Linked DNA regions of Drosophila melanogaster. The protein of the gene in region 1 interacts with the protein of each later gene in a pairwise test. Each region holds a gene or a part of one and is shown in the gene's direction. Other genes may lie near its edges. The genes, in order: mRpS26 and Ser8.

Region 1 (3,525 bases):
TTGACTTCTGCGTCGCGTGGTGCAGTGCCCCGAAGTTGCAACTCTTTTTCGGAATTTTTAATGAGCGTTGTTGATAAGCCAAACGAGGTTATGTTGGTGGGAAAATAAGTTGTGTAGCGGGAATTTACTGGCTTAAATAAGTTAAGCTCACAATTTGATAGGTAATTTCAAACTATCACAGAAGCTAACCTAAATAGTTGGGAATATTAAGTATTTATATTGAAATAAAGGGAATTAGATTAGTACATTGTCGTTATCATCCAACAACTTTGCATTCTTTCTGTATTAATCTTGTTTAAATCACGTTTTTAGATATAAAATCTTATCTTAAATGCTGGAGAATGTGAAAGTAAACAGATTGAAAAAGTTGCATAAGATAAACATTCCAACGATTAGAGAGCAGTAAACTTTTAATCGTACAGTTAAGGTACACTAATTAAATTATAAGAAAAGAAGATGTGGCATTTTAAGGCACTAAGTTTTAAAAAGGAAAGTCTACATTACCCATTTTAGTTATTTAATTAAAAGAGAACAATAGAACCCCTGTTTCGTGCAGTTCAAGCAATTGAACAAATTCGATATGCAAAATTGATCGCCTTATAAGAATTTCCAGCTACGAAGCGATCCAATTCGATTCGATTCGATTCTGTGCGTGGTAAGCGGTTGGGATACATGAGACACACATATGAGACAATATTTACAGTCCAACCAGTGCGAATTGCCATTCCAATCAGAGGTAAACAAAAATCAAAAGCCAATGTGAAAAAAAATGCCAACAAACCTGTACGAGTTGTTCGCTGCCGCTGCGCTGCTGAAGCTCTGCTCCCGCCGACGTCTGCGTCGAGAACTTCGGCTTTAAAGCTCTCAGATGGAGTTTTTGTTGTTGTTCTTGCTGCTGCTGCCTTTTTGCATGTGCAAATCGAAAGAGAGCGAGAGAGAGAGGGAGCTATGGAGCTGTGGAGCCCACCAATACTCGGGCTTTTTGGACAGGTAAGCGAAACACGTCGCAAAGAGCAGATGAATAAGAAGAAGACGCAGTAATGAATGATCGTCGCTTTAACTTTTCGCTTGCATCGGTATGCGTGTGTGCATTTCTGGGAGTTAACTTTTAACACTTTTAGCCTTGGCAAGAGATATATACAATATGCACTTTCCACACTGCTTCTAACTGACTTAGCTTTTCAATAACGCACACTATTTTTTTAAACACGAACACACACACACTTTCAAGGCGCGCCGGCTGCGCAAGCCACTTTTGTTTTAAGTTAGCCCACGTACAAGAGGCGAAACAGCGAAGTTCCGTAGCTCGGATTTTAATGCGGCCAGCGCGGCGATATATCGTCGACTGAGTGAGCAGTTACTTTTCGTACCTTCCCGTCAAGTTCACCTGGCCAAAAGCTTTTAAGCCCGAGCTGAGCGCAGCGCAATTGTGAGAAACGCACTAGTGCGTTGGAAGTTTGGCTATTTTCACAACAGATCTGTCTGGACTTCAAAGCTTGTATCTTTGGACAAATAAAAAACATTCATAACCTGCGCAATTTAATTGCAAAAACTTGTTAGCAACGCAAAATTAAGCTGTACCTAAAAATATATCTATGTAGCTGAGTATATAATTATATTTTAATATGAATATGTACGACAATAAATTTAGTAAGTTGACAACCAAATTACTATTGCCTTTCTATCTGAATTTGATTTGTTAAGATTGATTTATTCCTTGATTCTTCGATTTTCCATATTGGTCATCACTGACGGAACCAGCAATCGAACTGCGCGGAACCAGTTCACCGACAACAGAGTTGCACAACAGTTCAGCAGCGGCAAAGTAAAAATTACATTTTGTTAATTAAACTGCTTTTATAATGCTGCGAGCGGGATGCCAGCTGCTGACGCAGTCCACCCTGCCCACCGGGAAGACGGTCGGAAATAGTTTCGCCCTCGAGTTCGTCCGCTGGCGCAGGAAACCGCGATGGCTGCCGGTGGCCAAGAGCAAGATGTTCCGCGTGCCTGAACGCAAGAAGCAGTCGGAGGAGGAGCGCACGGAGCTCATGAGGCTACACAACCAGTACAAGTGCGTGCACCAGCGCCAGATTCTGTCTCTGGTCAAAGATAATTTGTAATCGGTTTCAAAAGACGTTATACAAAACAATCTACGCCTTGATTTCAGAACGCAGCTTCGCTCAGTGCGTCAGTTTCTAAGGGAGGAAGTCGTCCGCCACGAGGAAACATCCACAGCAGATCACATCGTGCTCACTCCCGAGCAGGAGGAGGCCGAGTTCCAGAAATGCCTGGATGCCAATGCTGCCTGGAACGCTGCCATAGCCAAGGAGCGTGATCAGCGATTGGCCAAGAAGCGTGAGGAAAAGGTGGCCTATATTCAGGAGCGATTGGAGGCACAACAGCTGCGCGAGGAGGAGCGCAAGGAGCAGGCCAACCAGCGGGTGCTGCTCGAGATTGAGCGTTCCAAGAACTATATCACTAGGGAAAACTTGGATGCAGCCATTGAGACAGCGTTGGCCAATCCCGTGGACCACAATTTCGCCATCGATATGGCCGGTAATCTTTACCACGGACGAAGCACCTCTCAGCTCCCGGACGCCACTCCCGAACCCAACCAGCAAGTTTTGAGTAATTAATTAATGCAGTGTCTTAGTTTGTTGTTACATTAAAATGCTTTTTATAGGTTTCTAACCAAAGTTGAAAGTCCGTGTTTTTTTTTATTTTTCTGCACAATAAACAACACACTTAAGTATATTTGATTTGCGCAAAAGAATAGGAATTGGATAACCTAGCTATTGTAAAGCGATTTGCTAGAACTAGAATACTTTTCAAATTTTAAGACCGTATTTGAAATTATAATAATCACTTAATTTGAACATATAATATATCAACAATCCATTAACCTAAAAATTAATCTTGGGTCATTGCATTAAGTATTGATGGCTTAATTTACGTTACATATCCCCAAGTTCCAAGCCCATCTTTCTTGGAGTCTCTTTTATGTTCCATATTCGAGTACAATTGTTAATAACCTTTTGAAAAGCATTTGTATTATAAAAATTTCTATATTTAACTTTTATATACGGCATTTAGAATAGGAATAACTTAAGCTTAGGCGCAGCCTATTTACTATATTACATATCTACCATGGGGAAGTGGGTGCTACGTGCCCGGTACTGGATTCGTTCGCTTGGATGCCGCATCCTGCTGCTGGAAAAGGTGCACCCAATCTGGAGTGGCCTTTAGTTTGGCTTGAATGGGTCCCAAGTTGATCATGTTTCCACTACGTTGCTCGCGATTGGCGGTTACAGACATGAGTTCCTGCAGAAAACCCGGATCGAGACCCATATCCAAGTCAAAGCGTGTGTCCCCCAATTGGAGTTTAACGCGACCGGATTTGTACCTCAGAATCTTGCCGATCTGCCCTTCTTCCAGCTGCCGTAGTACACTGCCCTTGGGTCCGTTTGAGCATTTGTCTGCAGGACTTGCTGGTTCCGATTCACTGGTGGCCTGATGATCTCCTTT
Region 2 (3,551 bases), on another chromosome or scaffold:
AGGACAGTGAGTATCCTGCGATGATGTCACATAAAGCCGACAAGGATGATCTAACGTGGTCTATTTCTCGCAAGGCGGCTGAGTGAAATGTCAATTCAATTTACCATCAAGGATGATTGAATTTCCCGTCCCTTTAGCCGACCAACTTCTCCGCGTGTGAGGTATCTTAATTTGCTTTGGCAATCAAGCTAAACGGTTTATTGAACGATCTTATCTTCGCAACGAGTTGAAAATGCTTTTAGACAATATAATGGCAAACAGAGAACATCCTAATTTATTGGTTCAACGCCCCATTTTGTATATACTTTTATGACACTAGATTTTGGGCGTTTGCGGAATCAAGTGTCAGGATGGCCGAGCGGTCTAAGGCGCCAGACTCAAGATTGAAAATCTTACTTTCTGAACGAAAGTGTTTGTGAATGAGCGTTCTGGTCCTCTTTGAGGGCGTGGGTTCGAATCCCACTTCTGACAAATATTTTTTTAAGCCCACAGAAATTAGCAATGATTTGACAAACAATGCAAAATTAATAAATAATCAAATATATATTTGCGTATACTTTTGAAAGATCTCTCTTTTGGGTTCACCTATATAAATACGTGACCAATAAATAAAATGGTAACAAATACATTTGCCATTGTATTAAATTAATATATAAATTCGTGACATATTTTTAGCAGGAAAACGAAAAACGAAAAACGAAAACTATCGTAGTAGCATTGAAACATATAGTGTCAAATTTAGTTCTTATCAATCCCTGAATCCAGATTTCAGTCAGGTTAAAAAAGTTGTATATTTTTATATCAATATAAGCCATGTCGGAAGAGCAGCCATCGAGCTCGTTGCTCAAGCCCATTCTAATCATGAAGGATATCGAATTGGACGGAGCAGGTGATGGCATCGGTAAGGAGTCCTCGAAGACAAAGAAGCATGTAACCTTCAACCGGATGGTGGAGTATTATACCTACTCGGAAACTTTGACCAGCTGGAAGAGGCGCCTTATGTCCGACAACGACTTGGTAGGTACTGAAACACCACAGACATGAATTCCCCATTGATACGGTCTGTGGGCTTTTCAGCGCCAGAGCATGCCGACCGAGTCGAAAACTTGCTTTACAAAGCACTAGGCCAATTTATGACTCCGGCCCACCCACATTGCCCATATTGAAGAACCAATACTGAACAGGAACGAAACGCTGGCGGAAGTTGTTAAACTGAACGTGACACTTTTAACCTAATTGGCAAATAAACGAGAGCCCGAGTCCTGCCAGCGAAGCGGATGTGGACTTGTCCGTTGTTTTTAATGCATTTTCCGTGTCCTGCGATGGGGAACGAAGTCGAGCAAATGACCAATGAGTTATTCATGATTTGTACCTACATTTCTATATTTTTTGTTCGTATATTAAAAGCATAAGCTAGTGCAGAGTGGTTACGTCTATTTTGGCCTTCATGCTCATTCAAAGCACGTAAGTGGTCATGCAATTTACAACGCTTTTTGCGCACCGAACGGAAGAAGTAATCTGTATTTGAAATATTTACAATTGGTAAGGCCCAGTCAATAGCTGGAGAGAACAGAGAATGGATTATAGCCAGATTAAGACGTCAAAACAAGCATTCCTACGATAAGTCTAAGCCCAGCAACTGACCTATCCCACCTATCTCACGGCTAACTAATCAATAACCAGTCGGTAATTAAAAGCACCCATATTCTCCTGCCAGCACCTGGAGACAATTGCCGGATGATGGGCCTTTTGGGTAATCAGCGATTGATACGAATGAAATATGGCCGTGTCATTTGACAACCTTATCCGCACGCGGGCAATGCCCAATCTGTGGCTATAAAAGGCCACCCATCGCAGTTAGTTAGCCATCCAAGGTTGAACCGCAAACATGTCCCTACTAATAGCAACTTTCTTAGCCCTGCTGGCCCTCACGAATGGCGCAGTCATTCCCATTGGCCTGGAACCACAAACATCATCGCTAGGTGGCCGGATTGTTGGAGGCACAGCCTCTTCCATTGAGGATCGTCCCTGGCAGGTTTCTCTGCAGCGTTCCGGAAGTCATTTCTGCGGTGGATCCATCATCAGCAACAACATCATCGTGACCGCCGCCCATTGCCTGGACACTCCGACCACGGTCTCCAATCTCCGGATAAGGGCTGGCTCCAATAAGCGAACCTATGGTGGCGTTCTCGTCGAGGTGGCTGCCATCAAGGCACATGAGGCATACAACTCCAACAGCAAGATTAACGACATTGGAGTGGTGCGTCTGAAGACTAAGCTGACCTTTGGCTCGACCATCAAGGCCATTACGATGGCCAGTGCGACGCCGGCTCACGGATCAGCAGCTAGCATCTCAGGCTGGGGCAAGACCTCCACCGATGGCCCCTCGTCAGCGACGCTGCTCTTTGTGGACACGAGAATTGTGGGCCGTTCGCAGTGTGGCAGTTCCACTTACGGATATGGTTCCTTCATCAAAGCAACCATGATCTGTGCAGCGGCGACGAACAAGGATGCATGCCAGGGTGATTCTGGTGGACCTCTGGTATCCGGAGGCCAACTGGTGGGCGTCGTCTCCTGGGGACGAGATTGCGCCGTCGCCAATTATCCCGGCGTGTATGCCAACATTGCCGAACTGAGAGATTGGGTCCTTCAGGCCCAGAAGACTGTCTAGCTTTAGTTAAGCACAATAAAATCGCACTCATAGTACGTATAGTTAAACTGCAGCTGGCAGGGCTTTTATTTCAACTGCTGCTTCCGCTCATTTACTGCTCAACAGCAGTGACTTCTGAATCCAGTCCCCAGAGCCATACATGCGGCAGCAGGACGTGCCCTTCCTGTGGGCCACGCCGCTCGTTTGGCTCATGCAATCTGGGTCAGTCCACAGGGGTTGGCTGCCGGGTGGGGCCTTCAATTCTGGCGGGGCACAGGGGCGGCAAGCCCATGGTAAGCCAGTTACAGCGTTTGCATACTAAAGTCGGGTGACATATCTGTGACATGGCTGCGAATGACATGTAAAATCTCTGTCTATTCCATTTACACGCTTTTGTATTACTAAAAATTAAAGTTATGTATGCCATTTATTTAAATATTCAAATTTTTTTAGTTCATTTGCTGGAACATTTTTTTTTTGCTAATGGTTTAACTTCCTCACTGATAGTTTAGTTTGAAATTCCTTTGAGTTCCCGTTTATGCACTGCATGTGCACTTAAAATTTGCTATCTCTATTGTTTCTAATCGGTTTAAGCGTTTTACAACTTTTGATTGTCGTCATTTAAATAACCAATTTATGGCTAACAATAAATTTTGAATGCAAAAGTGCCTGTCAATGACGTGCAAACATTCTGTTTACTTTTTGTAATTGCTCTTTTAAAGCTTTTTTAATTGTATATCAGCGGAAAAGTTGGTGCACAATGTACAAAAAAAAAAAAACTGTTGTAAATTATTAATTATACTAAAAACAGGCTATAATTTTTCATAACAATATATTGTATATCAACTGACAAAAGCGCGCCATACTTTAAGTAGTTAAGTGGAACCGAAAACTCCCTTGA

The links.
Region 2: the proteins of mRpS26 (region 1) and Ser8 interact in a two-hybrid assay, tested with the Drosophila melanogaster proteins (one large-scale study listed by BioGRID).

Annotation. Positions count from the first base shown.
Region 1 is NT_037436.4:18,104,800-18,108,324, forward strand, and holds mRpS26 (mitochondrial ribosomal protein S26), read left to right. Parts: upstream 1-1,779; 5' UTR 1,780-1,862; coding exon 1,863-2,071; intron 2,072-2,167; coding exon 2,168-2,636; 3' UTR 2,637-2,700; downstream 2,701-3,525. Other genes in the region: Polr3D (RNA polymerase III subunit D), read right to left, coding at 3,163-3,525.
Region 2 is NT_033778.4:13,432,324-13,435,874, forward strand, and holds Ser8 (Ser8), read left to right. Parts: upstream 1-1,883; 5' UTR 1,884-1,888; coding exon 1,889-2,671; 3' UTR 2,672-2,722; downstream 2,723-3,551. Other genes in the region: CG30065 (uncharacterized protein), read left to right, coding at 814-1,017, 1,078-1,125.